3 linked regions of the Drosophila melanogaster genome follow. The protein of the gene in region 3 interacts with the protein of the main gene of each other region in a pairwise test. Each region holds a gene or a part of one and is shown on either strand. Other genes may lie near its edges.

Evidence for each region.
Region 1: the proteins of jp (region 3) and nSMase interact in a two-hybrid assay, tested with the Drosophila melanogaster proteins (one large-scale study listed by BioGRID).
Region 2: the proteins of jp (region 3) and CG2310 interact in a two-hybrid assay, tested with the Drosophila melanogaster proteins (one large-scale study listed by BioGRID).

What each region holds. Positions count from the first base shown.
Region 1 is NT_037436.4:3,212,724-3,223,398, reverse strand, and holds nSMase (neutral sphingomyelinase), read right to left. Parts: upstream 4,244-10,675; 5' UTR 4,096-4,243; coding exon 4,055-4,095; intron 3,969-4,054; coding exon 2,681-3,968; 3' UTR 2,474-2,680; downstream 1-2,473. Other genes in the region: RpL28 (ribosomal protein L28), read left to right, coding at 1,425-1,517, 1,690-1,932, 2,116-2,214; hob (hobbit), read left to right, coding at 4,595-4,647, 4,728-4,854, 4,911-5,453, 5,506-5,781, 5,836-5,979, 6,036-8,101, 8,164-8,644, 8,707-9,745 and 1 more.
Region 2 is NT_033777.3:29,487,273-29,498,361, forward strand, and holds CG2310 (uncharacterized protein), read right to left. Parts: upstream 6,247-11,089; 5' UTR 5,978-6,246; intron 5,480-5,977; 5' UTR 5,450-5,479; coding exon 5,124-5,449; intron 4,967-5,123; coding exon 4,899-4,966; intron 4,838-4,898; coding exon 4,476-4,837; 3' UTR 4,252-4,475; downstream 1-4,251. Other genes in the region: CG2321 (uncharacterized protein), read right to left, coding at 33-983, 1,035-1,904; CG2006 (uncharacterized protein), read left to right, coding at 2,273-3,256; Spase12 (spase 12-subunit), read right to left, coding at 3,356-3,481, 3,538-3,684, 3,743-3,766; diedel, read left to right, coding at 6,607-6,954; FipoQ (F-box involved in polyQ pathogenesis), read left to right, coding at 9,406-9,501, 9,728-10,052, 10,115-10,733, 10,792-10,959, 11,028-11,089.
Region 3 is NT_033779.5:9,559,381-9,570,932, forward strand, and holds the start of jp (junctophilin), read right to left. Parts: upstream 7,371-11,552; 5' UTR 7,053-7,370; intron 6,059-7,052; exon of another isoform or gene 5,624-6,058; intron 1,047-5,623; exon of another isoform or gene 1,017-1,046; intron 802-1,016; exon of another isoform or gene 708-801; intron 1-707.

The sequences.
Region 1 (10,675 bases), on a different chromosome or scaffold from region 3:
CGGAAATGTGTCTGACAAGTAGACTAGAGCTGGAAAAAAATCGATTTCTAATCGATACTATCGAGTGTTCAGAAGATGGGCAACGCCCGCCAGCATCAATTATAATCACTTGATTTAAAATTGTTAATCACAAGGGTCTTCGTAAATTTATGAGTTTTTGGAGTTTTCGCAAATAATTAATCAATACCATAGCTTTTGCTTATATTCTAAAAATATGCTACAAAAATATTATAAAACTATATAAGCAATTAAATTTGCAAAAATTAAATTCATGTTATGTAGTTTTGAAAATACAAATCAGACAAATTTTAAATATTATCTGCTATGTGTTAGCGTACGAAATGCTTATCGATAGTTGCCCTGCCAACTCGCACAACACAGAATGCAACCCAGTGTTTTCGGCAAGCGCAGCCAACTTCGCGCTATGTCGGGCTGCCATATTTCTTTCCTTCTTGTATTTCAACGAGAAAAGGTGGGCATTTTGCGTTTGTTCTCGATTTGGTTAAGTTCTAGCGTTCTCTCAGCGTCCCAAGCGCTCCGCAAGTGTAGAGGTATAATGCCTGCACCACGTGTTGCCGTCTATTTGGCTGCCGGCCCGCTAAACCTCGGAGGTAAATTGAGTTTTACCCACACGTGCAACGCAGCGGGCAAATAGTGAATAAAAATTTGAATTAATTTGTAGCGAACCCATAATGGACTTAATCAAATAGTCTATATTACTAAGCGAACGTGGCGTTGATCAATACCAAATTTAATATCGTTTTTCTCTTTCTTTGCATGCTGCTTTTCCTACTGCTGATTTTACATGGATCTTTTCAATAAAGGTAAGAACACGTGTGGTCTTAAAATGCGTGATTAATTCTGTGATGAATGATTGAGCAGAAGAGTTCTTGAAGACTATATTCATCACCCAAGACTGAATATAACAGAAATATCGTTGTCTTTTATTCAGAAAAACATAATCTAACTGCCGACTTTCTTTTTGTTCCATGTTCACCTTTTGGCTGTGTAATTTATTGATTTTCCTTTAAAGGTAAGCATATAAAATGTGTTCAAAATCCTTATTTTTGTCTTAATGAGGATTGATTTAGCAGAAGAGTTCTTGAAGACTATATTCATCACCCAAAACTGAAAACGTTGCAGTTCTTCAAGAAATTAATATAGAAATTATTAATCTAATCACGAAATTTGTTTTTATTTCATGTTCCCCTTTCTTGCTTGCGTTTCTGGCGATTTGATCAAAAAGGTAAGCATTAAAATCTATATTGAGTACTTCAGTTGTGGCTTAATGAGGATTGATTTAGCAGAAGAGTTCTTGAAGACTATATTCATCACCCAAAACTGAAATACCTTTGAAAAACTTTAAATATGGCTTTTTCCTGAGCAATTACTAATATGTTCTTAACTTCTATTCCAGACGTGAGATGGCAACCTCTTCGCACCTCAATTGGTTGATCATTCGCAACAACAACGCCTTCTTGTTGAAGAAGCGCGATGTGAAGAAGCCCTTCAGCACAGTAAGTAAATATGGATTTAAATAACGTGCACCACATTTAAATGATGTTTCCAACTTATAACTTTCACAATGATATTTGAATACAACATGATAGTAACTTTAATCTGATAAAAGTTGGCTTCATCACTACTATGATATGACAAGCACATTACTGACTTCTAAATCCCTTCCAGGAGCCAAACAACTTGGCCAGCGTGAGCTCGTACCGCTACAGCGGCATCGTGCACAAGAAGACCCTGGGAGTCGTGCCAGCTGCCGACAAGAAGGGCTTCACCGCCGTGCTGAAGAAGGGCAAGTATGCCCAGCGCCCCGCCAAGAACACCGTGCGTGTTGACTTCAAGGCCGGTCCCCGCCGTTCCCTGAAGAAGCTGAAGAACCTGCTTATCGGCTCCAAGTACCGCAAGGACCTGACACAGGTGATTATGGCTCCAAGCCTAGAAACAACTGTTTGGGTTCTTGTCATGATGATCTTTTTTTTAATGCTACACAACCAAGATCGCAGAATGATCGTGTTGATAAACTTATCTGAAGCTCTCAAAGCTGAAGCTTATCGTACTTCAGTGTTAGGCCTATTCTAATGATTTTACTTGTGCTTATAGGCTGCCCTCCGCCGCGCTTCCGCTGTCCTGCGCTCCCAGAAGCCCGCCCCCGTCAAGGGAAAGAAGGCCGAGTTTGCTAAGGGAAAGAAGCCCGAATAAACTGTACCAGATTGGGGCTATGCGGAGCTGTTTTCTACTCGAGAATAAAGAAAAAATATTAAAAACACCGTAATATTAATACAGTTCTGTGGTTATTTGTCGATAATGGGTAGCGACCAAGTACTGCATACTTTGGGGCGGTAGTTATGAAATTTTCTATAACCATGAATGAGCTTACCATATATATTGTTGCTTATTAAACGACAAACTATATTATTGTTGATACAAAAGGTATCTTTAGATCAATCAATCTTTGTTTGCCTAAATGATTCTCACTTTTATTGAACTATTATTCCTGGGATATGGATGACGTTACACAGAAAGAGACCATGGAATTGCATTGACGGTTACACGAATAAAAAGATCAAGTAAGAGCGCTATAACTCTAGTCAAACATATATCGCTGCTTATAGTACGCTACACGTGGATTTTAAATGCGCATTGAGCTTGGCTGCTATACACAGCCTCAGTAGAAGTACTCGTACTTCTGGGCGTGGTGCAGCATCACCTCCATCGACTTCTTGCCCTGCAGGACCCCATTTCGTTCCATATAGTTCCAGATGGAGGCCATGAAGACGCAGAACAGGATCACGCCAAACACGATGAACTTGAGCAGCAGAAAGATAGTGCGCATGCCCACGGGGGCGGTGAACTCCACCAGAAGGACCAAGAGGACAAACAGGAAGGTGGCGGCGCTGTAGTACAGTATTCGATCAGTGTTTAACTGCAGCAGGGAAGCATCGCACAGCGCCAGAGCTTCAAGAAGGGCAGCAGTTCTAGCGGCGGGCATGGATTGAATGGAAGTGGAGCTTCCATTGCATTGGATCTCCGGCTGGTGTTGTGATGACTGATCGTCCTCTCCTGTCAAAGCATCCCCTGCTCCTACTTCCCTCACGGAACAGGTTTCACCATCCTCTACCAGGCAGTTCACCTCGATCGTTGCCACTGGCTCCTCACTTCTAGGTTCCAGCTTGAATAACTTCAGCTTGGCCATCACCGCCTCGTGGTCGGAGAAGCTAAATTTCTCGCCGGGTACTCGCTCCGGAAAAGGCAGTTTGTATTCGGCTATCTCAGCATTTACATGATCGCCACCACGCACAAAGATGTGATCGATACGGATACCCAGAGGATTTCTCTCCCGTGCTTGCTTAGATGTGTATGAGTTGTGTTCGCATTCGTTGGTCCGAAAAGAGTCCGAGTCGCAGCTGTCGAGCATCTTGGAGGTATAGAGCAGCACCTTGTAAGAGATGTCCTGTGGCTGGGCATTCAGGTCGCCAGCCAGAATCTGCAGCGCAGAGTTCCCCCTGGTGGCTTCAATGAATTGAGCAGTATCGAAGGCCTGAATAACGCGATGTGTCTTGTACTCGTCGTTGGCATTGTCGTACTCCGCGTGCAGGTGGGCATTATATAGGTGCACCATCTGCCCGCCGACGAGTATGCGGCACAGGCCCACACCTTTGCCGCCGAACCAATCGGCATGCTGAATACGGTGGAAGTAGCCATTTACGGACCACGCATGAAACAGAGTGCCCAGGATGGGGTACTTGGACAGTACCAGCAGACCGGCGCCCATCACGCCGCTGTGAAAGTAGTGGCTATGGGGCAGGACCGCCTCCGTGCCCTTTTGGAGTAGCTCGCTGTCCTCTTGCGCCCACACCTCCTGCAGGGACACGATGTCATACTTCCCGCTAGCCAGCTCCTTGCAGATGGCATCGATGCGGGGTCTGCGATCACTCGACACATACGGAATGCCCCTGAAAGTGCACATGATTAGCCTGTGCAGATCGGTGTCAAGGGAAGTGGGGCTCCAGCAGCCTTAGAAGGAGATGCCTGCTCTCACCATATATTCAGGGTCAGAATGTTCAGCTCCAGCAGCAACATAGCGACTTCTTTGGCCAATTTTCACGTTCGCATGCTTACAATGGAATAACGGGCGCGGGAGCAGCGATAAGATAACTTTTTGATTTTGTTATTTTTAAAAGATATAAAGCCACAGTGTGACCGTCTGGGGAAAGCCGAAATTTAATAAAGCCTGAACCCCTGACGAGCTTTGTTGATGCGACAAGTCAAAGTCGCACATGAACAGGGATGCATTTCTTTGCATTATTAATTTCTAATTGAGAATGCATTTTCTTTTTATACACTGTAACTAAAATTTTGGTAATTGCGGTAATTGTTTAAGTTATGCATTTTGCGAACAAGCTTGTCTTGCAAGGGCTAAGTATTTGAAAAACTGATAGCTTATTGTGGTATTTTTGAATAGTATGCATTGGTCACTCTATTGCCGCAACTAGTAAATTGTTCAGTATTTAGTCAAAAAATTTCAAAACATAAATAGCACAACATAAATGTTGGGACACTATGGTATTTAGGCAACAACATGATGCTACAGCTACTTCTATTCTGCCTGGCGCTCTTCATCTTCGTTTATTGGTTAGTTTTGCCTGTTCCGTGGCCCCATGATTGATCCATCATCGTTATAAACATAAAAAATTGATCACTTTCCATTTTAGGGTCTTGCCCACGGGCATTAGTTGGTATTTGGTGAAGAGGTTTCGGGTCAAAGTACGGATCGGTCGCATTTCGCTGCCCTACTTGTCCCTGAAGAATGTGCACATCAGCAAGAGTGGATTCTCGGTGGTATGGATAACCTTCGAACTCTGGTTACCAAGCGATAAACACTCCTAATTTTACAGCAAATCGAGGAGGTGTGTCTGCGCAGCAGTTTCTTCACCACCGAGGTGACCAAGCTGCTCTCCATTTATATCCGTGACATTCGCATCAACAAAGACATTCACAGTCGACAGGATGACTCCTACGACCAGGACTCTTACGAACTCCGGCGGACTCAGACGTTGGCGGGCAAAGCCTCGGAGGCGAAGGGTGTGCCAGACTTCCGGCAAACTAAGGTGCCGGCGAGTATTATCACCTTTGCCCAATTTATGGCAGTGCACGTGAACAACATATCAGTGGTTCTGATGAACAATGACTTTGATCCGGGGTGGTTCATCCATGCCACGGCGAAGGAGCTTCATTTGGACGGGAGTATAGTGCAAAATGCTCGTGTTCTGTTGGTCAATGCAGCCCTTAGCGAAGCACAGGCCAAGATGCTGAGGCACTGCAGCTCTCGCCGTCAATCGCTGGAGAATCTGAACAAGATTCGTCCTTGCCTAGGCGAGGTCAGCTTTGACATGACCCTGGATGCGTCGCTCTTTGCCCAAGGCCCTCTGTCCATGGATGTAAGTGACTTTTTGACTCCTTAGTATTCCTTTTATTAATTCCCGTTTGCAGACCCTAAGTCTGGTCATCAACAATGCCAAATCCGTCATCCACGGCGGACTGTACGAGTTCCTTAGTGAGGCCAAGCGGAGGACATCGACCGGTCAGCCATCTCGGCGCTCCACTCAAGGCCTAGCTCCCTCGAAAAGGTCCTACGACAATGACAACTACGAGAAGCTGGCGCCCATTATACCAAAGAACTTTAACTTTAGCATTAAGGCGGCAACGTTTTCGGCCGTCAAAGAAAACTCACAGAACGATTTTAGTGCCAAACTGCAGTCGTTTCAAGTAGGTTAATACCACTACTATGAGCTAATCTATAATAATACATAATCTGCACAGATCTCGGGAAAGTTTAACTCGAAAGTCACCGATGAAAAGACGTTGTTACCGTCAATGCTTGCCAAATTGGGTTTTCATCATCTAGACATTGACACCAAATATGAAAAGCTCCTCTTTGTAGAACAATTTACCATAGACTCTGTGGTAAGTAAACACATTATGGCCCAATTAGTGCAATATTATAATACTATACCTTTCAGCTGGAAAAAGACATATTCAACTTGTATGTAAAACTGAAGACATTCCAAATCATATATAATCACAGCGAGATCTATGACTTTGTCAACAACAATTTTCTGGCCCGCCAGCGATCGAGCGAAGCGCAGCCAATGCAGTTGATACATAAGCAGAAGTCCCTGCCGGATCACTTGGATCTGGACACGGCTGTGCAGAGTAATCTGCGAGCGAATCAGCGACGGGAGGGCGGAGTTCTAGAGTGGATTATGCAGCGAATTGTTGTTAAAGGCTGTGCGGAACTGTTTAATGTCTCTCTTCTTATGAAACTGGAAGATGAGCATATTGCCATGAGTGTGAGTCACACAAGATTCCTCTTGGAGCAGATCGAGGAAAAGCGAAGTAATCTCTATGAGAACAAGTTCCTCAATTTGTTGTTGAATCAACGACAATGGAGCATGGAACTCATGGTGGAAACTCTTTGGTCAAATCTAGGTAACTCCATCAACGACACCAACAACTTGAAAAAGACTCATTCGCCAGGCTCGCCGTTTTTCCTCGGAGTGAGCTTGGTCAAGCTCTGCTCGTATGCAAACACCACTAAACTGGACATATCAGTGCACACATTTCGCACGGAATACAGCATGCAGCTTGCGGAATTCGTGGTCAAGTCAATGGAGTGCCTTCGGCAGTACCGGGGCATAAAACCAAAGAATATGTCGGGACAATCTCACGCCAGACCAAATGCAGGCCTTACATTGTCCGTGCAGCCATCACAATCATCTACCTCACTGCGGGTGTCTGTTAAGGTCAAGGATATTACGGCTTACTTTGTCAATCATCACAATGTTTATTCGCTGCTCAGTTTCTCAGAGCTGAATTTATCACGGTCTCAAAGCCTGACCACCCTAAAGCTCGAAGAGTTTCAGATGGCTATAATGCGCTCAATGACGGCTTCTTCGCTTTGCCTCACCGACTTCTCTGACGTTTTTGCTACATGCAAAATGATACGACTGGAGCATGAACAAGTGGAGGGTACGATGGGCAAGTTGTCCATTTACATACCCGGCAACATGGAGGCCACGTGGAACTCTAATTTGCACATGCACCTGTTGACATTGGTGCGCGATATGCAGGACTTGAAGACAGAGCTGGCTATTCCTGCTTCGTCTGTTAAGAAAACAACTCCTAAAGAAGGATTCATAGTGGAGTTGTCTGCAGAACGTAGCACCATCTTCGAAATTAAGTTTTCTGATCGTCACTCAATTCAGATCTTTGTGGAAAGCCTCTTCTTTAGCCAAAAGGAACGATGCATCATTTATGCGGAGAATGTGTTTGTCAAGATCGATGATCAGCACATATTCACAGTGAAGGAGCTGGATCTACAATCAGTTCCACGTCTCGAGGTACTCACCCAAGAAAGACAAAACTTTCCTGGTTTTCAACTGCCCTCCAACAAGGTGTGGGTCACCACAATTGGATCCTTTAAAGCCATTTTCCCGTATGACCACGACTTTTATAACGCAGTCAATGGAGAGTGCACATCGCACTTTAAATGGCTAAAAATGGTTCACAACTACAAAAAGAAACCCTTTACGGTGGACTCACCGCTACCCTGTGATTTGGTTATTAAGATCAAGGAGTTCTTGCTGGAAATTAGCGACGATCCCTTTGAGGTGAAACTTCGTGATAACTATGTTCTATTAGTGGATGAATACTTGGAGAGCTTGAAGCGCAAAGCGCTTTTTGACAAGAAGATCGGCGAGCTCTGCTCAGAACGTCTCTTGTTGCCATCTGGAACCATTGAGGGTCTCTACGCCAACCTGGTGAAGAAGAACTCGGAGATCTACATTCAGCGCTCGAAGAAAATACGAGAAAGTGGACCAGTACGCACCCGATTGCTGGCCTGGATCATGACGGACGTGAATATTATGGCAATGGCGGACACCTCCATTCATGGCTACAATAATGTGACGCGCATTATGCGCGAAATAGATCACGAGAGTCCGTGGCCGGAGGAGGGTCTCGAGTTCTCTACACTTTGGTGCCGCGGTGTCAACATCAGCTGCACTGAATGGAAATTCATGCTGAGGTAAGTGGGAATCTTTGTGACGAGTTGATTCAATATTTATAATCTATTGATTAAATTTTCAGGGACTTCCCGCAACCAATGTTCTGCGTAAAAAGCATGCGACTGTACGGAAACCTTTGTGGAGCCGAGCAAATGGGCTCCAAGCGAGCCAAGCGAGATGTGTTCATTGACGTGGGTGAACCCTTTGGTACGGATGTGATTCAACGCAGCATGCCCTCGCTAAAATTCTACCATGACTTTGATTGCGAACTGGAGAGCTGTAGCTACGCCTTTGGAGCTTGCTGGGAACCTGTAATGGCCCAGTGCAATCTAAGTTTCGAGAAGATATCGGCGCCCTCAAAGGATCCCTCTCCCCCTTTGCCATTTTGGGATAAGCTGCGATTGCTTCTGCATGGTCGGTTAACTCTGATAGCCAAGCAATTTACCATACTCCTGCACGCATCGCTCGATCCGTATAACACAACAGAGGAAATGGAGTTGACCTGGAATAATTGCGGCATTGTACTCACAAATGCCAAGATCATGTTTAAAGGGGAACTTAATGTGAGTGTGTAGCTTATAATTTTATAGTTTTTTGCACGAATTTAAATATGCTTTTCTTTTAGGTGACTGTACGAACAGCGTCCCGCTACGACGATTGTCGTCTGCTTCATTTTCCCAATCTTAAGTTGACGATTAAGCTGAAATGGGTGTGCCTGGCTAATCCCAACGACCACCATGCTGTGATGCCCTGTGCCCCCGACAAGCTGCCGGAGTACTCGAGTAATCAAGTCCATGACTCCTTCCGCGCCTTCCGCTCGCTAAATCTCAACATTTGGATATCATTTGAGACGAAGCCTAAGGCGGGCGAAGATTTGGAAGTGGACATACCCAGCCTGGTGCTGTACGGCAGCACGTTGCGATGGTTTGAGAGTCTGCAGCTCATTTTATCAGGTGTGACGAGGCCCACGCGACGGGGTCCGGTCTTTAACAATGTGAGACCGCGTAAGAAACCCCTTAGTCGACACTACAAAAAGGCGAACTTGCAGATGTGCTTGCATAAGTTTCAAGTTCTTTACTGGATGTCCCACGCCCTCCAAAAGGGATTCCAGTTGAACGGCCGCCGAGTATCTTTTAGTTCTGAGCACTCGCTAACACTGAATCCCATTGACGATGGGCTCATCCATCGGCCACGAGCGGATTGGTCAACAATCTACATGAACTGCGAGCTCAATGACGCCGAGATCTGGCTTAAGAGTATTCTCACCGAGAAGATGGACAGTAGCTCTGAGAATTTGGCCAGTGCAGCAGATGCCTTCAAAATCGTGAGATTCTACTTCCTAAGCGTGGCCAAGGTTTCCTATGGACGCGAGGCACTGATACCCACGACGGCTACAAGCACGGAAGAGGATGTTAAGGCCCAGTCCACGACGCCTACGCATAAGTTGGTGGTCTATGACCTAAAGGGTGCCTGGACAAAGAGCAATCGAGATGTGGCTTTTGCTCTCTTTGATTCCTTCATGAAGTCACAGAAACTGAAAAACAATTTGTCCACGGAGGCGGTAAAGAGCTATCGCAAGGAGGGTCCAAACTCTGCCGTTTTGAAACATAAGCGAAGTGACAGCACAATTACCTTGTCCAGCACCAACAACGAGGTTTTGCCAAGTGAGTTGTGGAAGGATAACTTTTAAGTTTTCTTTTCTAAAAAACGTTTTTTTCTAGTTTCCAATCCAAATGCATCGATGAAAAAAGCCCCCGCCCAGATTCATGCCACAGCCATGTTGCAGCAGCTCATCGCAGAGGCGGACCACAAATTCAATGTGTATAGTGATGATCATAGCACCCAGTCGAGGGAACTGCAGCTCCAGGGCCTGCAGGCATGTTCCGCCCAGGATATTATCCACGAGAACTGGTCCATCAGTCTGGTGAACTCACAAGTACTGCTTAAGGGCTGTGAGACCTCTGGCTACGTAATTATCAGTGCTGCCAAAGCTGAAATTTTGCAGCGGGAACATCGGCCAGTTTGGCGCGAGCGCTCGCTGATCTCGAAAACCACATGGAAGGGATTGTTGGAGTGCATGCAGTACTATGCAACAGTTAGCGCGGGGGATAATAATTCCCTGTTGGAGAAGGAGATCATGTGGCTGACGGTGGACAACATTCAGGACAAGGACGAGACTGTGATAAACAACCTGCCGGACATATCACATTTGGTGGGCAGTGGACGCAGTGTGGGCGGTGTAGTCTCAGAGACTGTTGGAGCTTTCTTGAGCGACAATTCGGGAGGGGCTCAACCCGTGCAACTGCAGCGCATCGTGTCCAAGTGTAAGTGCGAGTTTTTCTATGTGAGCTACGGCGATGCCATCGATCCGAATAGCATTACGGAGGTGCCGCCGCCCCCTTCAGAGGAATTGCAATCGCCATGGGAAAAACAAGACGATCCCGTAGATGCCTTCACACTTATGCATCACGATCTGGATGTGTGCACCAACTCGCTGCAGTACGCCATGATTCTGGATATTGTAAACAATCTATTGCTTTACGTCGAACCCCAGCGAAAGCAGGCGGCAGAAAAGCTGACAAGAATGCGTTTCC
Region 2 (11,089 bases), on a different chromosome or scaffold from region 3:
ACGAGCTCTTTTCATTTCGATTCCCAACTCACCTTTGGTGCCGCTTCGAAGAGTATCTTAACCATATAAAGGCTGAGTCTCGGGTAGACTATACGCTTCTTCGGCTGACCCGGCACCTGTGGTTCCATCGGTGGACGTACGTAGGGAACGAAGTGACCTTCTGCATGCCGCTCGAAGGCGCGATCCAACTGCAGCTGTACGTTGGAGGTGCTAAAGATGCGCTTCGCGGTGTGCGGACTCGCAAAGTGCCAGGTGTACTTGCTGAGGCCTTTATGTTTGCCCGACTCTATCACAGTTAGCTTGTCCAACGGACGTCGCTTGACTCCAGTACTGAAGCTCTTGCAAAAATGCGAAAAGGTTTCCTTGTGCACATGGAAGTTCTGTTGCACCAAGCGCTTGGTAAGCGTGTTGCTTTCCGTTTCCAATGGCTCGCAACTGTCGTTTAGCAGCTCGATCACATGATCCAGCCATGCCGAGTAGGATAGAGCCGGCTGAACGGAAGCGTCCAAGCAAGCGGATGCAGCTGACGCTGCACCATTCACGATTAACTCCCTTTTGGCCGGCAGAGAGGGCTGCTTCAGGGACTTCACTTCGGTCACTATTTCCGAGAACTTGACCGGTGCCTTCTTGACCATCGATATGGTGGCCAGCTCAATGGGCAGCTGATCGGCGACCACAGAGGGCGTGGCCTCGGTGAAAATGGGCGGAGCAGCTAGGATGTTGTAGGGTTCACTGATCAAGGGCAGTTCTATATCCTCGCTGCATATATCCAGCTGGTCGGTGGGCTGGAACTGATCCATCAGCTCGATATTGCAGTCGGTTAGCTCGATGGGCTCCGCATAGACATCGAGGTTGGACAAGAGCTGCGAGTCGTTGGCATAGTGGATCAGGGCATCGTTGGTGCTCGAGGCGCTTTGGCTAGATGTGGCGGCCTGCATGGTGTCCAGGTTAAAGACGCCATCGGAGAGATTCGGCAGAGAAAGCTATAAACACGAAAAGGTTTAAAACTGCTCGAGGTGGAAGGTATAACTTACATCTAGTTGGTCGCCAAAGACAAGTATGTCCACCTGCGGGTCGAGCTCATCCACCATGTCCAGGCTGAGCCGCAAATCCTCGGTGGCCACGTCGCCTAGCGGAGTTTCCAGCTGCAAGGGCATCCAGAAGGTCTGCAAACCGCTGGTGAAATGGCCATAGACGCGTTTTCCCTGCGGCGAACTAAGGATGCCAGCCAGGACGAGCAGCAGGTGATCGCAGATCTCGTCCTGCATCACCAGCGAATTATCTGGCTCCACAATGATCTTCAGTTTGCGGCAGGCGCAGGCGTAGCTGCTCTTCTTCTTGGACAGGCCATTGGCCGAGACGGTGACGTGCAGTCGAGCCGCTGGAAAGGATTCGGAGCGCTCGCACTTGACGGCGAATGTGGAGTGATTCAGGCGCTGCACACCCGGCAGGTGCTCCTCCTCCTCCGCGTACTTGTACAGCTGCCAAAGGTTCTGCTTCTGCTCCAGGCTAATGTTCAGGTTCCACAGCACCTCGCGGGACACGCGGTAGACCTGCGCCTTCGCGAACTCGGCGCCCAGCTCCCGGCAAGCTTTCACATGGACGCAGTCCGTCGGCTCGCCTCCCGTTCGCTTGCACGACTCCACGAAGCACTCCGCCTTGCTGGACACCACTGCAGCGTCCGGCTGCAGCGACAGCGTGACGTCCTGGATGACCACAAAGTTGCGCGGCTGCTGCTCCTTCTCCTTGGTCCTCAGCGAGTAGACAGTGGAGCCTGGCCGCAGCGACACCAGCTGCACGGCATCGAGAACGTTCCTGCGCTGCGGACACTCGGAATTCTTGCAGAGCAGCGCCCGGTTGCCATTGATGGCGCCGCAGTGAACACACTTGCGAACGCCGCGCATGACTCTTGCATCTTAAATTCCCGGAAAATGGCTATAAAATGCGTTTCTTAGTTTTCGCAAAAGTTTGCCGGCTTTTGATTTGCGTGGCGCAGTGTGACCGTTTCGCGCGCTGATGCCAGCAGGGCTGGCACACACATTCTACATATGTGTGCATTAAATTAATTTTACTTTTGAATTATTGCTACAGTTTTTGCATACACTACATATATTTTACATTTATTTTTCATAACATTTGGGCTATTCCAGCCAGCTTGTGTAGGCAGTGCTGCGCAGCCCTGGTCGCATCAGCCGCTTGTTATCGATAACCAAATTGGCTACTTTAATAGGAAATTTGTTATTTCAATTTAAAAAGTTGACTTTCCGCTAAAATGACGCATCCGCTGGAGGCGCCGCAGCGCAGCCGCAAATACCCCTTCGTGCATATGCGCATCGCGGACCACAGCGCACTGGACACCATCGAGGGGCGCCACAACTGCCGCCTGTGCAACCGATCGCGCAAGTTCTTCTGCTACAGCTGCTGTGTGCCGGTTGGCGAGCTGGAGGAGCTGCTGCCACGTCTGGAGCTGCCGCTCCAAGTGGACATCATTAAGCACAAAAAGGAAATCGACGGCAAGAGCTCGGCGGTGCACGCGGCCGTTCTGGCGCCGGCGCACGTGAGGATCCACACATTTCCGGACATTCCCGACTATCGCGAGGAGGCGGGCGTAGTGCTCATATTCCCAAGCGCCACTGCGCTTGCGGTGCCGCAGCTCTTCGCGCGCAATGTGCAGCTTCAGATCGGCGACAACTACGGGCTGCCCAAGGGCCACCACATGGGCACCATGCTGCGCAGGCGAATGGACGAGGTGGAGGTAAAGGAGCTGCAGGAGGAGGTAGATGAGCCGGAGACGGTGCGACGAACCTGGACGCTAGACAACCTGCCCGTCCGCCGAGCCGTCTTCATAGACAGCACATGGAACCAGAGTCGCGGGATCTACGCGGACGCCAGGGTGCGCGGCCTACGAACGGTGGTGCTGCAGAATCGACTGTCGCAATTCTGGCGCCACCAGCGCGGCAGTCCGCGCTGGTATCTGGCCACCATCGAGGCCATTCACCAGTTCCTCCTGGAGGTGCACATCAATGCCTGGGGCCTGAACACCGCCTATCGCGGACTCGATAACCTGGAGATCACCGCGGGCTTCCATCAGCTGGCAGAGCCGCTGACCAAGACAGCTGCCAGTGAGAATGTGGGCAGGGAGGCGCCCTACAATGGGCAGTACGACAATCTGCTCTTCTTCTTCGCCCACATGTACGATCTCATCCACAAGTACTATGACCACAACGACCTCATCGCCTACCGACGACCCATCTAGCGTTCTAATGGACATACATATGTATATATATATATTATATTGGATGTAGTGAGAAGTACACGTAACTGCTGGCCTAACTAACTACTGATCCCACTGATTCTACTGCTTCTTCTTCTTCTTGCCCTCGTCGCCGGACTCGGAGCTCGACGACTTGGCGTCCGTATCGATGGGTTTCTGCCATTTGAGCGCATTGCGACGGTACAGCGGCCACGGTGGAATGGTGATCTGTGCAGGAATCTCGTGCTGTTAGCAATGGAGCTACTAACACGACAGCTACTCACCAGCGAGGAGAGCACAAATCCGGCGCCCAGGATGTACACGGTCTGTGAGAACTGCTGCACGAAGGCTCCGTAGACGAGGCCCACAATTCCGAAGAACGTGATGATGAAGCGCGACCAGCGCTCCGCCTTTCCCTGACCCGCGAAGTCCTGCGGCGGTAGAGTGCCGTGTTAGTGTTATGTGCTAATGGTTGCGAAGCATACCTACCATATGCGTCTGGATGTCCAACATTTTGTGCAATTCACAAGCTGCGATTCAACAATTTTCGGCGTAAACAATTTTCTTTTGCGGCACGTCAGCAGCCGAATGGTGTGACCGTGCCGAGCGAAAAATGCCAAGGGGATGAGAATATACTGGAATTTGGAACTCGGTGAATTTCCCATTATTTTTGTACATGCTTATTTCCCTCTTTTTCAAAATAAGTGTGTTTGAAAAATAGCGAAATTGTTTGTAGCTTTCAATTGTGTTTTATTATTTTAAATTTAAAATATGCAAACAAAACGGAGATTATTACTCTCTAAATGATGTTTTCCTTTGCAGAGTAAGCTCTTGAAACAAAATAAATAAGTTCAGTTCACCTTTTCTTATGCAAAATATGTAAAATAAGTTTATAGAAGGCAAAAATGTTGCATCTTTAAATGATTTATATAATTTTAAACCACGCCAATTAATGCAAACTAATAGCCCATTTAAAATACTTAACTTCATTTACATATATGTATGCATGCATATCTTTAATGCAATTATAGTCATTTTATTGAAAAGGCTTGCGATGTGAATAATCGCTCGTTGTTCATACATATGTATATTATTTGTACAATGCGTTCATAACGTGGACGTTCTGGCTTGTGTGTCACTATAACTAACTAAATAAGTTAAAAGGCGAACAGGTGGAATGTAAAGTGTAGAGGACCTCGCGCCTCCCGATTCATGGCAGGACTCAGACCCTGGCGGCCTTCGTGCGCCGCAGCTGGACGACATTGATCACGCAGACGAGCAGCCATGCGAGCAGTGCGATCCAGGCAAAGACCAGGGTGAAGTACAGGCAGGCGGCCGTATTGATGCGCCCGTAGCGTCGCCGCTCGTACGACACGCTCTCCACCAGATAGTCCATGAAGTCGAAGACGGCGGCGCACGAGAGCCGCGACTTGATCACGGGCACAATGTTGCCCACGCCCTGGATCTCCTTCAGCAGCGACTCCCTGTACTGCTTGCAAGTCACCTCGAAGCCATCCGTGAACACGGCCGAGTAGACCAGTTGGTAGACGGCCATTATTGTCGAGATGACGGTGGCGGGCAGCCCTAAATTAGTTAAGTATTACACATTTGTACATAGTTAAGTTCGGAGACGATGGACACTCACAGTAGTAGGGCGAGAGACCATCGGGCGTGAGTTCCGACTCGGTGGTCACCACGATCATGTCACCGGAGCTGCAAGCAGAGAGCAGAGAGGCGTAAGCAAACAGTTGATGCTGCTCCAAGTTGGAGCCCATGATGGCATTACTCATAGCCAGACAGACGAACGAGTGTGGCTGGCCGATTAACCCCATTGACCCGCCGACACTCGATCGCGATCGCCCGCTCTTACCGCTGACGGATGGTGGCCGTGCCCGCCTTGGGCTTGCCCCGACCGATGCACATGCGGTAGCCGTGGTAGACGCCCAGGACGACGGCGAAGAGCAGCGGCAGCAGCAGGCCGTAGGTGGCGAAGTGGCAGTAGGCGACGTTGCCGCCCTCGAAGCTGTGGAACGTGCTCTTGCCGTGCAGCACGCAGCCGCAATTGGTGTCCGGGCAGGCATTGAGCACGTACTGCCAGTGTGTCCAGGCCACCGCCGAGGTGATGCAGCAGACCAGCGATGAAACGATGGCCAGCGGGTAGAGTAGGGACAGGGCTCGCTCCGCGTAGTACGACATCGTGCGAATGGTATCTGCTCGCAGGAGTATCTGAAATAAGCGGACAAGTGAATAGTGAATAGAATATGGGTATCTTTGATCCCCAGCCAGGTCAAGTTGATCTTAATTCAACTTTAAAGTACTTATGGTAATGGGCAGTCAAGTTAATTAATTGGCCACTTTTCGAGCGCTCTAATTGCTCATCTAATTGTAATTATGCCCAATTCGTTCAAGATGATTGCTTAAACGCAATTGTGGGTTTCGTTTTACATTTCCTCAAATGGAGAAAGAACATTATTACTAGCTGTTCAAATTTAACAGCAATTTTGAGTTTGTAACGAAGCTTTTTTCTAAGAAGTTACTAACAATTGTTAGCTTATCTGATTAGTTTAAAAAACTCCTTTTTTTGACGATAGTGAGCATCTCTTGAAATTTAAAATCGATAACTTTGCAACAACAACAACTCTTTGGGCGTCCCTTAACACACACACACACTGTCGCACCTGCCCAAACACACACACATAGAACAGGTTGCAACGCGCACTGTACCAGATATAAACAAACTATAATGTTTGCAGCTACCACTTTCGATGTCCCTTTAAGCAGCTGAATTTCGGTTGCGCAAAGCGTTTAGTTGTTCGCTAATGCTGTTTCTATATCACATTTCTCACAGAATTCAGGGATAAACAGGAAAACTGCACTGCTGACACATACACGCACACAGGCGCACTGCAGGCACACCTACGTTTATCGATATCGATAGGCGGGCGACCGAAGAAGCGACCGAACGGTTGAGCGGCGAAGAAACGACTGAACGACCGTCGTTTCGCCACTGCGTTCTGATCAGAACGGGCCGCTAGTGCTAACGCTTTTAGCCGTCTGGCAACGCCGATCACCAAAATTCAAATGGGATTTCCGTTACAAGTGATCTGTGTTTAAAATTTTATTTTTGATTATTACAAGTTTTATTTAAACTAAAGCGCAGTAACTAGACAGTATTTCATGACTATGTGTTTGAGTTATGTTAGAAGTAAATTTCCCGAGAACTGGGCCTAATCAATTTTCCTAATAACTTGGAGCGCATTTGCCAACTAAGCGAATTCCCTGCACCCACTGTGAGCGTATAAAATCGCTGTTTGCCGGGGTGAAAAGCATTAGTTCTCCCAGTAAATCCAATCATGGCATCCCCAGTAGTCAGCCTGCTTCTCGTCGGGATCTGCGCCCTGGCCTTTGTCCATGTGGCTCGGTCGGAATGCTGCACCTCCCGGGAGCTGGTGGAATTCAAGATGGACAGAGGCGACTGCGAGGCTGTGCGTGCAATCGAAAACTATCCCAACGGCTGCGAAGTGACGATCTGCGCCGATGGTGTTGCCCAGTTGGGCGCCTACTGCGGCCAGGGATCGTGCAACATCTTCGGCTGCAACTGCGACGGCGGCTGTCTGAGCGGCGATTGGTCACAGGAATTTGTGAGGAGGAACCAGCAGTACGGAATCCAGATCATCAAAGTCACCAGGCTGCCATTTTAACCCCTTGCATCACATAAACAATAAAGAGAAGCTTTAATTGCATCCAGAAATTACTAATTAATTATGTGTATTTTATTTTATATATGCATGAAATTGATAAGGTTCCCACTTTCTAATCAAATGTAAACAGTTCAATCTGATTACTAGGAACTATTCTTATTTTTAATCTTGAATTCCATTAATTACGCTATTAACTAAAACTATTATACTAAAAAAAAAACAACTATCATCAAAATCTGAGATGATATGGGCTAATTTTTGAATAAAATCCAGTGCTCAAATCATAAGAAGTGATTTTTTGTAGTTTCTAGCATTTGTAATATCTGTTTCCCAACGATCGACCACGCCCCCTGGGCAACCGCCCCTCTGTTGGCCGCTCGCCATGGGAAAAGCAAATGACGCCTGCACTCGCAGAGATCGCCCCGAATAACCCCTCCATATCCACAGATCCACAGATCCCCAGATGCCCATGTAGCCATGTACTCCGCATGTAGTACGATCAACTAGCCGAGTGAATTTTGGCATAAACCATTTTCCGCGGACGCCTGATTTTCTCAGTTTTCTCAGAGTTGTGGAGCCGTCGAGAACGCGGAGCATTCGCCCATGTAAAGCCGCAGAATCCGTCGATTTTCGCCGGAATTTATCAATCCGATTTGCCAGTAATTTGCAACAGAATAAGTGAATTTGCCAAGTGAATTTCCCTAGTTTTTTTTTTCAACTTGCAACGAAAGTGCTAAAGTTACGAAACTGCACTTTCCACGTTGCACTTGCAACCCCAACAGTTTTTTCCACCAGATCCACCAGCTGAGGGAAAACTATTAATAAACCGGGCGAAGGATGAAACAAATTCAGATGTGACGCCCATCCTCGTCGAAAATCAAAAGTCGCAAGTGAACAATGTGTGTGTGTTCACTGAGTTTGCATAATTGTGAATTTGCTATTTTAATCGCCTGCGGGCATCAATTAATTAATTAATTAAAAGCTTTCCTTCTCGCACTCGTTTATTTGCGGAAAGTGTCTAACAATTTCGTTTGATCAACTAATCAAATGGGTAAATAACATAGTAAAAACGAAGTTTTAACTAACTGCTTTCGCTTGCTTACTTAATATACTTATACTTTCCAGAACTAATAGACTACTGAATATAGATTTCCTATTAATTTGCTTCAAAATGTGGTAATTTAATTAGCTTAGCTGCTTGTAAACTAATAATTTCTAAATAACAATTAGTTTGAAATGCTCAGAATTCAGTGTGACTAATTGGGAAAGCCTTGCAGAAATAGTTTAGCTCATGAATGAATGTATCTCATGCGAGTATAGCCGGCACATCTCCTCCCTTAGTTAGATACATAGATACATAGATACATAGATAGAAGCGGACGGATCCAGCAAGACCATACATACATACATATTGTACAGCTGAGACAGCGAACACCTTCAGCTTTCCGGCTGATCCCAATCCAAATCGCGAACTAGAGCGCAGTGCCCACCATGGATAATTGGAATGTTTTGGCAGCGCAAACCTCCTCGCAGGCCATCGGACTCCACGACTCTGGCGTGGTGAAGACCCGACTGGTGAGTACCCTGTACATAGAACATACACATGTGCAGATAGATATACATATTAGATGTAGTAAACAAAACAAAGCCAGACAGACGAACGATGGCGTATATATAGAATTCTTGGCAACAAACATTGTGCACTGAGAAAGTAAAAGGGGTTCGAAATCTATTATTACTATTAAATATATATATGCAAAAGCAGGCTGTGCGGAAATGTATCTTAAAGTAGGCGCTAAAGGATAAAGCTCAGAAGGTTATTCCTCGGGAAACAGAAGCATTTTCAGATGCATCTTAAAGTATCTAAGAAGTAGAAATATCTTAAGATGAATCCATAGGTTATCCGAACCTACAAAAGGTAGATACTATCAGCAATATCAGATACTTTTAGATATAAGTAAAATATAGTAAAATATCTCGAGATACTTTTATACAGCTTACTAATGATTTTGAATCTGACGAGGAAAGGAAGAGATTTGGCAGGGATTTTATCAGCATGTTTCTCCACGTGCACCGCTGGGTGAGTGGTGCTGGTGGTTCTAGTGGTTCTATTTGTTCTTAAAGAGTGCGTGAGTGGTGTGGTGCGTCGCCCGTGAACAGCACAGCTGATGCATCCGAAAGTAGAGTGATTGAGTGATGCGATGTGGCAGTGCTCTCGTTACTGGCGCTGGTCTATAAATAAGCCTAGGGTTCTCTTGAGTCTACTACTGCCTGGCGGATCTTTGGAGATTCCGATGGCACGTCGATGGGAATGCGGCTCGCAGTAGCGCGAAAGTAGCTCGATACGACGGATATTCTCGCCTCGCAGGCAGAGCACGCGTAGTTTGCCCCGTGTGTAGCTATATTTTTTTTTTATATAAGCAAGTGGTTCCGAATCATCCACACCCAGCCATGGATATATCCACCGATATCTGGGGTCAGCTGGCCGTGGAGGCATCGCAGGTCTACCTCTCCGACGGCACAGTTCGCAGTCCCTTCGCCGATACGGTACGATGGGTTTGGGATATTACTTAGGGATCCCACTCATTTGGGAGAGCCAGTCTGTGGCGTAAGAGAGAGTATCTATAGATTCACTCACCCGTAGAATATATAGCACCACATTCGCACTCAACTATTCCGAACTGTCGTTTAGATTTACATTTAGAGATCATATTTGAATCACTTATGTAGTACCATAGGATATACCACTATATATCGTGACTCTCATCCACAGACCATTGAGAAGCTGCCGGACAAGGTGCTGCTGCACATCTTCTCGTATCTGTCGCACCGCGAGATCTGCCGCCTGGCCAGGATTTGCCGACGATGGCGGCAGATTGCATACGACACGCGGCTGTGGAAGAACGTGAGCCTGCGACCGGAGGTCTCCGGACTGCACGTGGGCTCGCTGGAGATGCTGCTGCAGCTGATCTCGGTGAGATTCGGACCGACTCTGCGCTACATCGAGCTGCCCATCGAGCTGATCACGCACACGGTGCTCCACGAACTGTCCGCCAAGTGCCCCAATTTGACCCACATGCTGCTGGACTTCTCCACAGGTGGGTGCGCCACGTCGCCGATCGTCCGTCTTAAACTCTAGAGTGTCCTGTGTACTTCTTAGCCATGCAGCTGCACGACTTCAGCGAGATGCAGGCCTTTCCCACCAAGCTGCGCTACATGTGCGTCTGCCTCTCGGAGGTGATCTTCATGGAGGGCTTCATGCGCAAAATCTACAACTTCATCAACGGCCTGGAGGTGCTGCATCTAATTGGCACGTACGAGAAGTGCGAGGAGGAGGAGGAGGAGATCTACGAGGTGATCAACGTGCACAAGCTCAAGTCGGCCACGCCCAATTTGCGTGTGATCAACCTGTACGGCATCAACTTCATCGATGACTCGCACATCGACGCCTTCAGCTCGAACTGCATCCAGCTGGAGTGCCTGGCCGTCAACTTCTGCAACAAAGTGACCGGCTCCACCCTGAAGACCCTGATCCAGCGTTCCAAGCGCCTCACCTGCCTGCTCATGAACGGCACCAGCCTGAAGTCGGAGTTCGTCATGCAGGCCGAGTGGGACAAGTGCGCCCTGCAGGAGCTGGACATCACGGCCACCGATCTTTCGACCGAATGCCTCGTGGACATGCTGAGCAGGATCCCCAGCCTCAAGTTCCTCTCAGCCGGCCAGATCAATGGCTTCAACGACAGCGTTCTCAAGCAGTGGATGGAATCGGGCACCACCAGGTGAGCGGAGACAGTACCTACCCGTCTGTGTAAGCACTCCGATAGCAGTATGATTTAGGTCGCTCATTTCCCTGGACTTGGACTCCTCGGACAACATCTCGGATGAGGGCCTGCTTAAGTTTATACAGCGCCAGGGTCATCAGCTGAGCGCCTGCTGTCTCTCGGGCATGCCCCACATCACCGACCAGCTGTGGATGAGCATCCTGCCCCTGCTGGGCAACTGCAAGTAGGCGACACTATTGGTCATCGAATGAAAAGACATTTTATTATGAGCTGAACTTTCTTAACCTGCAGGATCATTGTTATGGGCACCGCAGAGAAGCTGGGCGTCAACATCCACGTGGACCAGCTGATGG
Region 3 (11,552 bases):
AGCATATTTTTCGTACAACTCGCACTATATTATATAGAAGATGGCCGAGCCAGTCAACAGCAGCACATTCTCTAAATTGAAATTATTTATAGGTTCACATAAATTAAGTATTAACACCCAACAGGCCCGACTACTGTAGTTAGTCCACCCCTTGCACTTTCGGGGTTTTCTCTTGACACGATTTTATTTTATTTTTTTTTTGTCGCTGACTGCATTTCCTTCAAAATGTCAAGTGGCAGGCGAAAAATGGCCAGTGACATCCTGGAAACTCGTTGACCTATTGATCGCAATGGATTTTTACATTCGATTGTTCGGGTGGGACGTTTTTTTTCCCCAAATTTAAACACAATAAATGACACGATTTCTTCAAAGCAAATGAAGTAAACCGATTGCGAGTCATAAGACATAACTGCTGCAATTAATTTATATTTTTAATTGACTTCTGCAACCAGCTCGTGACGTTCGTTAATCCATATTGTTTTATAACTTATTTAACGCAACGAAATTTTCCACTCACACACGCACAAAAGCTGAGAAACTCGGGCAATTTTTTTGGGGGAAAAAAAATATGTGAAATGGGAAAAACGTGTGTATGTGTGTGTGTGTGTTTTAGCCGCACACGCACACACACGTTAAAAATAGCAGAAAGTTGAAAATACTGAGATTCGTTGAGTTCGGTTTGATTTTGAGTTGAAACAGTTCCGTGCCTCGAAAACGCAGCCAATTCCAAAAGAACGCTCATCCGGTCAGCTGTTTTTTTGAAGCAGCGAATTCCGCTCCGGATGCAGATTTGCGGATATCTAGAGCGAGCGGAACGAAACGCACGAGCGGCGGGCAGCGACTGGCAGTCGTTCGAGATCGGTATCGGTATGGGGATCGCGTAGTAACGACAACCACACGACGGCGACGACGGGAGAAGCGAGTACCCCCACAATGCCTCCTCGCACCACAGGGCGTATGCGAAACCTGTGCGAATTGGATGGCTACCCGTTGCGTATACGCCCAGTTAAACTAACTTTCTTGTGCGGTTCCCCGACGCGACATTCGAGCGACACGTCCAAACGCCAAACGCTTGCAAAGCGAAAAGAAATGCCCGCCACTGTCCATGGCATAGTCAAGCCAATTTGCTCGCTCTTTCGCACTCTCTCTCTCCGTATTTCAACGGGAATTCATTTCAGGGATCCCTCGCTGAATTCATCCGAGAGACTGGAAAGCGACAAGCAGCCAAGAGAACGGACCACAGCAACTGAATTAGAATCTGTTGCTTTTGCATCTTTTCTCTCTCGTCCCGAAACAGCTGTTACATAGCGGATACTTATAGACCAGCATGAACAATATTTGGTCATAAAGAAATATGAATGAACGAACAAATCGTGATCGTTGCCATGCATCCATCCATCCCCATCCATTTATCGCAGCTATAGATCGCAATGGTGTATATACTCTATTCGCTCTGCTTTGTTTGCCTTGGGTCAGGTAATTGGCTGAATGACAGGCGTTTAATGTGCGGCTGACTCACGACCTCCGTCACAAAGATCTCTCCGGTGGGGGGCGAGACCTGGTATTAATAGGTGATAATTGAAAATGGTTTGTGGATAATATCGGTCTTGGTTATTCCCGAACAGAGCTAATAGCAGGGCATGCACTTTATGGCCCAACTGAAGTGCCCTGGCCAGTGGCCACTTAATATGCAGTCGACCGTCACATGTGCCCCACTTTCCTGTAAATGCAATTACCCCACATCTGGTCATGTTCCCCCTTGGCAAGGAGCTTAGGGAAATCCTCCCCTGACTCGGGCATGTGGGAAACGCAGTCGCAAAGTAGCTCCTTTTGTGGGTGGAGCTGTTTTGCTGTACACGTCACAGGCCATTAACTGGAGTATACAGACACGCACCCGCCTACAAGGGGAGTGGATGATGGTTCTGCTCCAAAGTAAACAGGTTATACAATTTCTAAATTAAAAGACAAACAAGAGAATGGAACATCATGTCACCCGCAAACAGAAGTTAGCATACTCTAAACAACACAGAAAACATCCTACAAATTTTAATTAGAAAATACCCCATTAGGAAGAAAAAAACAGGTAAATTTTTGCGCAAGCACGAGAATACATTTTTAAAGAGGTTGCCATTGAACCTTAGTGAAATTCCCAACTAAAAGCAAATCAATTCCATAGCCCCAAACAACAGCTGTCCGATCCAGAGAAATCTCAATTTCCTGGCTGGCAGATTATGAATTTAAAATGTTCTTTTTAATTTGTTTTTGATTGCCAAGCATATTTGTGCTTCTTGTTTTTGAATTCCATTATTTACGATATCTGTTCGATTTCGTAGACATTTAATTTTGTTTTTATCATTCGTGTTTTACGGACAGGCATTGCTCCTCCGTTCTGGTCAGAGATCGGAGATGGAACGATGGCGGAAATCAGCAACAGAAATACATGTCTGAGTCACTCACTTTCCTTGACCTTCGGTGGAAGTTTGACGAATGACGGAAATCGAAACATGAAAACATTTTTCCGAGCCGAAAACAATCCACAGGCAGTCCAAATCCGAAATGGAATCTTGTGGTCGGAGGAGATGGTGGCAAATTGCTGGTGGAACTCGGACACTGATAGGCAAATGATGCAAATCACGAGCGGATTTGATTGATGATATTTCTCCCATCAAAGAAGCCGGATACTGGCATGCTAATGGGAAACTTAAGCACAATACATTGATTCGAAGGCAAATAAAAATCGCATTAGAGATTTTGCTAAAGCTTGACCTTTTGACACTTAAATGTCCAAAATATATACACTATTTATTTGCTTTTATGAAAATATGAATTTAATGGGATTTTTTAATATTTCAAAATCTTATTATTTGCTGAAATCTCTTAGGCATGTTTAAATCGGATTACCTCTTCTTAGCTTGTATTACATTTTAATTCCACTTGAATAATTAGAGAAATCGGACTGATGTGTTTCAGAAGCAGTTCCACTTGAAATCAGGCCAAACGACAGGCACTTGGGAAGGACTTGACGGGTTCTCACAGCTGGGTGATGGCGAAATTGGATCGAAAAGGGGCATGGGGCTTCTAGAAATCCGATATATATAATGAAATATTCATACACATGTGGCGAGTCTGCCTTACTCACATTGCCATTGCCCCATCCATTGCGCGTGTGTGTGTGTATGTTCAACGTTCATTGTTGTGGCAAATACAAAAGGATTGAGAAGCAACACACATGCACCTAACACACTCATACACGACTATGCACTTACACTTACGCAAATGGCAGTTATGAGGGGGAGTGGTTGGGTGGTTGACATAATAAGAATAACGAGAACAACGAGCGACAGCAACTTGAGGCTGCTTGAAGTCAACCAACACTCTTACGCAGGGAAATTGCCCGACGCACTCACACTGAGATACATCTACACCATCGGGCGAAACAATAGTGCCCGCCGACTATTGTCTATGAAAATTTGAATATGAATTATAGTAAGGTGAATCCGATTGGTGGTACAAGGCACTCAACTAAAAGCTATCATTAGTTTACACCTTGTTATGATTGTTATACTTAATTGATTCTGAGTTCTTTGCATTTGGTTACGAAAAGTTTGAATTCCTAATTTATTATCCTCAAGTGCGGATAGGGCAGTGGCCATCCTAAACCCCGGTGCTTCTGGATGTCCGCGATAAGCCAAAAAGTCGGGGGAGACAACAGCAATCGACATCAGCACCGACGTTAGGTGTTTATGGGATGTAGCAGCCCCTAATACCGGCATGTATTTATGCCTGTGGGTGGGAGTGAAGGCCGAAGGATTACAACACCAACTAGGCATAACAATAACACTAAAACTCGAAGGCAAGGACCGCACTCGTGGATGCTGCCAGTTAGGCCAACCATTTGGCACAGATACGCGAACTCACAGATTTTTCCTCTAGTCGAGAATTTGGAATTTAAAATCCGAAATCCGGAGTAGGTTCGGCATCCTGCTGCGTGGCGACACCGATTGGTAAGTTCACAAGGGGCCACAGGATGTGCAATGAGTGGCTGAAACTTGTTTAACCAGCAGCGGCAACGGAAATTAGGTTGCTCCTGGGAGCTGTTACATAAAGTCCATGTGTGGATGAGTGTGCGTGTGTCTGACAGCAGACATAAATCTTGGCAAATATGCAAGTTGTGCCGCCCAGAATGAGCAACTAGGCCCAGCGGGGGAGGACACACGAGCCACCGAGTGGCAGGACGAGTCCAGGAGACGGGATATGCAACAGGAGCAGTCCAGCCACCGGAGAAACAATTCCCCCAGTCCGCCTCTTTTCTACGTTGTGGGTCTGTTCCCCCGACAGGCTATTTGCATTGGCTTCTTTCTGCTGCCGTGTAGAAGATACATTTCGACCCAACGCGACACACTGCAAAAAATATCGAGCATTTAAAAATGCGGAAAAATTATACTTTTAAACAATTTTTGAAAAATCTTTAAAGTTTCAGTTCCATCTTAATGTGGCTTTAAAAATTCCTTTTATTGCGTCTGTTGTGAACTTTGTGAACTAACAAATCTGACCCAGTGGCCAACAGGATGGGAAATCCGAAAAAAAATCAGGACTCACCCAGAAAGCAGAGCAAACAAGAAAGCCGCAAAAACAGCAAAATGCAACCAGACAACCCGTGGGCACATACTCGATTTAAAATTTCCTGCGCAGCAAATGTGCAAGGACACCAGAAGGAGGAGCTGCTAGGAGCCAGAAGAAGGTTGATGAAATGACAAACAGGAGACGCGCTTGGCGGCGATGGCGAACTAGGCAAAGAGCACACGGGATATCCGTTTCCGCCCGACAAGTGCCCCGCCCACTGCCCACACATTCCAAAACCAAAAGGTCGCACACAAAGTTGCAATGAAGCGCAGTTCTAGTTAGCTTCCGGTATCCCCAAACCGACCCCCCCCCCATTTCCACACCTCCTTTTCCTACCGATACATTTCAGAACGCAAGCAACAACACCAACATAAAGGACACATTCAAGTTTGTTGGCCGCATGCAAAATTCAAATTGACATAAACACCGAGACGAGCGCTTGATTGTGCGGCTTGTGTGACTGTTGCTGGCTATAAAAAGTGTGCACCACTCATCCAACCGCTGGCCCGCTCGCCATCACCCATACGCCGTGTGGTACCAGTACCAGCAGTAACAACACGGCAAATGGCAAATACAGTGAAGCTTCACACTGAGTGTACACTTTAAAGCTTTTATGCTAAATAAATATAAATAAATATCCCATTGAAGAAGTGCTGAGAACTAGAAGATTTAATGACCTCTATAAAAATTTGAATTGATAATTAAAAAACTAATTAATATATCATATTTGACCAGGAAGATCAGAAAATAAATAGCATGTGTAGTTAAATTACAATACAAAATAGGCTCAGACATTTGAAATAGGTGCAGCTGAAGCCATGGAAGCTCTACTGTAGTTGCGAGGATGGAGAAGGCAAACACCCATGCCACACGACTCCCATTCCCCAAAGTATCCGAGTGTGTGACGCAGAACGCAAGGTGACTGAAGTTTGTTATTTCGATTTCGCAGCCAGGCGATCGGGATGCGGCGGTTTTGGGGGATATTATTCTATCTACTCACAGATCCTCGGCGTTCCGCCCGGCAGCACTCAGTCGCATTCACTTTGCACCAGTGCCCTGCAATTGTCTCCGCGATTATTTCGATGCTATTTATAGAGCCCAGTACCGTGTACCAGCAATTATCTGTGCAGTTATTTATCTATCCGTGGGCCAGCTACTTGTGGATTCTTTGTTGCTCGCACGGCTTCTGATTAATAAATCGCTCAGGTATTACTCATTCGCTGTTAATTTAAAAATTCGTTTGTTCGATTATTGTTTACAGTTAGCATTGGGTTAGGGCCCCCGACCTCAGCGTTTCGTGTGTTATTTTATATATTTTTTGGGGGTTTTCCCTTTTCGGCGGAGAGGTTAATTTCTTCTATTCTATTCTAGTTTGTTTTTCTCGCGCGCGCGTTTGCGTTCGTTTCGTTTGAGTTGTTGGTTCGTTTCACACTGAGCTAGGGAAATCATTGAAATTTCTGCTCAGGCGAGAAATGAAAATGTTTTTCGGCGGAGCAGCCAAAAAACAAAAAAAAAAAGCGGCAAGAAACCGCTCTCTGCTGCATTTTTTGGGGCGGGATTTTTCTCGGGGAGGTGAGAGAGTATGATGGCACCGCCGGTGGTCAGCGGGAAAGAGCTTTTCCGGCGCCCCCGCTACTTTTCCACAGCCCCCGGAGGTCGCACCTCAAAGTTGCCAGACTGCCGACGTGGCGTATGCGTAATGCGGGTTTTCCACTCTAGAACGTTAATTGTTTTTTTGTTCCTTTTGGGTTTTCGCCCAGTGGCTTATTGTTTGGCCAGCCTTAATTGCCGACGAGTCTCTGGGGTCCTGGCAGCCAAATAAAATTACGACTTGTGTGCGCTTAACTACTAGATGATCCCTGGTTAAGTTTCCACTTTATCGCATTACACGACTTTCGAGTTAGGTCGCGGCAAAAACTTGACTCCTGCCGATTCTTGGTAAAAGTTTAGTGCAGCTTCCGCGGAATTCGCTCAATTACAGCTGCCAGCGGGCTGTTTAAAAGTTTCTTACGAAAAAACCCCCACCGAAAATCGCTGGGTCGTCATGTTTAACCTTCAGTGGCAGCGTATTGGACCTTGAATCATAAGTTAATTAGAGTCGGAAGCGGGCAGTGAAAGGCAGCCATGGACATGGATACGGATACGGATGTGGCATGTGGGTGGGCAACCGAAAGCCTCGTTCAAGGACTCGCACACACTCGCATCCTTGCGCTCGTATCTGTGTGTGTTTATGTGGCATCTACAGGTAGCCGCAGCAACGACTCCCACAATTCCTCGAGAGCCTGGTTCGCTTTTGTTTCGATTTTCTAACGAAATCGAAACTCTACACTCTGAGAAAAACAATAGGAAGCGAGCGGGAGAGAGAGAGAGAGCGACAGAGCGCGAAAATGGAGGGGGGTTTTTCACTGAAAAGAGAAAGAGTCACATACTGCGCTTCGGAAAATGCATTCTTCATCCCAGTGCAAAGGAGACTGCATCCTTGATGCCGCTGCAAATTGTCAGACAAAGTGTTCTTCGAGTCAAAACTTTCCGCTTACTCAACTCCGCACTCGTTCTCCGCACTTTTCAAAACTTTCCAGCACTCGTTTTGCGTAAATAATTCATGTCGAATATATTTTTAAGCGCACACAGATGGTCACCAACACTAGCGGGGCAGTCGCGTAACCAAAACAATGACACTCGACAGCCGATGGACCGCTTTTCCGGGAGCCCGTTGCGACCAAGGACGAGCACTCGCCTCGACTGTCCTATGGCAACTGAGCTCCGCTGCACTTGGAAGCTCTCTCCTTGCTCCTTGCTTCGCCACCCGCCCCCATTTTCGGCCCTTTTCCATTTCCCATTACCCACCCGGTGACCAAGTTTTCCTCGGGCCGCGTTCGGCTCGGTAACCGATTGCTCGTCCTTGCTGTGGCATGTAGGCCACAACAGAAACGAGCCTCCTTTTTATTGAATTTTTGAGCACACGCAGGACAAGACATCCTGCCCGCCGAGAAAAGCTTTTCCAAGCGGTCGGAAAGGGGTGAAAAGCTGGGCTGGCTGGCAGGTCCGTATGCTAGCGGTAAATTGCAGGGCAACAAAGTTGTAAACAAATCGTTAAAGTGCTGGAAATAACTGGGTTGGTGGTCTGCTGTCAGGCGGAATACATAAACCCTGACAGTTTTGGCCTAAGGAGTGAGTCCTTTTGAGCTTTGTCGAGCTTTTCGCGTGTGAATAACAATATGAGTGTTTGGATAATGACATATCAAATGACCGTTGGAGGGAAACGTAAGAGCTTAAGTAATCATTTCTTATTTTTTATTAACAATATTGTTTAAATATTTTGTTTGCTCGGAAGTCATTTAGTCAAGAGTAAATTGTGCATTCTAACGAAACTGAAACAGGTATATTTATCTATTTATATTTAAATATGCATAAATGCTTATTTTATTTCTGAAGTAAATTAAAAAAAATAGCTGTTCAAATCTATACCGGAAGTAGCATGCGCCACCTAGCGAGTAGCCCACGAAGCTTGTTCAAATGTCCGAAAAGCTCGCCTAATAAATTTGAAATGTAAACAAATGTTGTTGGAAAGCTTGTTGGCAACTCGGGCGGCAGCAACAACTACACAAAAGCAGCGATGTTAGCGGCAGAGAAATTGCAAAGCTTTGTGAGCAACAACAACATGATTTTTGTTTGCTCGCTTTGTTGTTGGTTCTGAGAGCGACAGCTGTTGTAGTGTCCGTGAGAGCGCAGTTTATGTTTGTGTGCGGTGCTGAGTAAGCAACTGTTGTTGTTTCAATGTTCCCTGAGAGTTAGAGCAAAGAAGAAGAAGAAGCGCACAATGGAATTATGATCACTGGAAATTCGCAGGTAAGTTTTCAGGTAAACTATTTGGGTTCCTGTGTTTTATTTTTTTTGTCAGAGTTACAGCGTAAAAAATGTGTATTTTCTATTTGCGACTGTCACCTGTTCACTAACATATTTTGGGGAAAACCAATTATACATGTTAATGGACGTGGAAATAAATAGAAACATTACCATTAGACAGTAATAATAAGCCTGAAGTTATATTCAACATAACAATCAACATACATATGTAAAAATTGTATTGCCCAACAAAAAGATCTTGAACATGATATATCTTTTGAAAATCCATTTGAATCAATCGATTTCGATCAGGATTACCTAGTAGTCCGCTGATCCTTTGAGAGATCCTTTCGGGGTGGGTGACTAGCCTCTAACGACAGGCAACACTCTTGATGCAGTGCAACTATTTTTGTTGGCCTGTGTCCCTTTCCTACCCTCCACAACCGACAACCAACTCATTGTATCTGTATCTTTGCATTTCGTACCGCGCAGTTGCCGTTTCTCCGACTCGAAAACACTCGTCATTCGTGTGCGTGTGCATTGTTTGTCTTATTTGTTGTTCGTTGCCAGCAACAACAATAAAAAGTTCCCTGCTGTTGAGCAGCCAGCTGTGTGTGTTTGTATTGGCGCATTGGTGTGTGTCCGTGTTAGTATCTGTGTGTGTGCGGCGGAGAGTGTGCGTTGTTCTCTGTTTGCTCGCCGTCCACTCGTGTCATGTTGTTGCTGTTGCTTCAGTGTTCTACGTAGCCGATAGATACTGGTTGATACACTGAGGGAATACGTGTTTAATTGGTACTTGTTTGAACCTCATAACTATTAAATTAATACCGCTTACATGGATCATTAATAAAGTCTGCAAATAATTTTATATTTTTCCCTTTAATTAAGTTTGGGGCTAATAATACATTACCAATTTAAAACATCTTTATATTACATTTCACAATTGCCAAGTGACAACTCTATTTCTCTCAGTGCACCGCTCGCTCTCGCAGGGCAGCAGTCGCATTTGTGGCTGTGTCTGTGTGTTTTTCTCTGTGTGCTTAGTCGCCTTGGTCGCTTGGTACGCGAAACATACGACATTGCCAACAATCCAACAGTCCGCCGCCGATTCCCGAGCGCCGTGCACCGTCGACTCGACCGCGAGTTTTCGAATTCAACATTTTTGAACGTTACGTCAGTCGTCGGTCGCTGCAGCAGCAGCAGCAACAAAAATATTTTTGGCGCCGTTTTATTTGTGTGCCGTGCATCGTGTCGTTTTGAAATCGCTGCGAGCAAGGAGTTGTTGCGTTTTGAAATCGCCTCTGCAACAGGAGTTTTTCTGTAATCCAACGACGAATACCAACCAAAAGGTAATGAATTCTTTGCTTGGAACAACATCACAAGTTAGGAACAACAGCAACAATAACAGCCTGATAAGCAGCAGAAAGAAAAATTCTATATGCCATATTGTTTCCTTGTGTGCGATTGCCTGTGAATGTGTGTGTGTATTGTGTGTATTGTTGTTGTTGTTGTTGTCTATCTAACAAAGTTATTGCGATTGTTGTTGTTGCTGTCATTGGGCCACGGAATATACAATATACTGTATGTATTTTTGTTGGTGGAGGGAAACAAAGAGCGGGCCGGGTATTTCTGCAAGTTTTCTGTGTTTTGTTAGCTTTAGAAATAAATTCTTTTTTTTTGTTGTTGTTTTTGTTTTCCGTTGGGTTTTGTGTTTGGCTGTTGCTGATTCTGTGTTTTTCGATTTGTACGTTGCTGTACTTTTTGCTGAGCCCCGTTGTTAATAGATAAACATGAACATTTCTCAAGGAATTAGTACGCGCTCATGCTGATATGTTTATGTTAAATAGACGTAATACAATAAATATTGCCATATAGCCCAGGTTAGTTGTTTTTCTGCCCCTTCCAGTCGCCATTCCCATTCCATTCCATTTTCCCCCCGCCCACACCGCACACAGCAATCCAACAATAACATTAACAAAAACAACAACGGGCAGAGCCAAAACACGCGAGCAACGTTCGCCTTGATAATGATGTTCGCTGATAATAATGATGACTGGCCAAAGAACACAACAATGCTGCCAGCGCACAGTGGGACCAAAGTGTTACGAAAATGGAAAGCAATATTAATTTTTTGTTTGGTTCAGCTTAGAGTGCTAGAGTTTTCTCTTGCTACTTTTTTATGTCCGAAAAAATAGAAAACTTATTGGACTCTGAACCTGATATTAAGATTAATAGTTGAAGGGAATTATTACCTACGATTTTCCAGAGATTTACTTACAGATGTCCAAAAAATATATATATACATATAAAATACCATCTAATAGGTTTCCAAGCAATGTGGAAATTGTTATTATATTTTTCCTTGATATACTTTTGGTAATGCCCTTTTTCGATTACTTCCATCCCACTGTGCGCACGTTTTTCGCTTTGCAAAACTGGTGGGCCCAAAAGGTGCTGAAAGTGGCGGGAAAACTGTCGGAGATTTAAGAGCGGCCCAAGTGTCGCCGCGATAGAAAGGGGCTGACGGCAAAAGGGTAGGCAGTCGAGTGAATGGACAGGTGGAGTGGGCTGATTAGAATCGAAACAGGTAGTCGCAGGTGCGAGAGCGAATCGTTTGCAAGTAGTGAGCAGTGAGTGCGGTGGGTACTCGCACACATATTCGTGACTATTCAGCGGATTTGGTTTTGGCCAACATGTTTTCGGATATTGCAACACAACATTGCTTGCTGCACTGAATTGCTGCTGCTGCAGCAGAGTGTTGCTGTTGTTGCTGAAGCATTCTGTTGTTGTTGTTACTGTTGTTTTGTTGCTGCTGCTTTAGTTGTGCTGTTGTTGCTGTTATCAGTGAAGCAGACAAAAGCTTTCAGCTTTCGACGCCAGCAGCAACAGCAACAGAAACAAACGGCAACAAAAACACAAACAAGCAGCACAAACAGCCAGATTGCCTGTTATTTTTATGGCCGCTGCCATTGTCGCTGCTGTGGCTATAATAATATGAAAAGTAAACAAAGTTGCTGGCTGTCGTCGTTTCGCCGCCGAGTTGTCAACATCAACGCAACGCAATGCTTTCCTATCCTATCCAG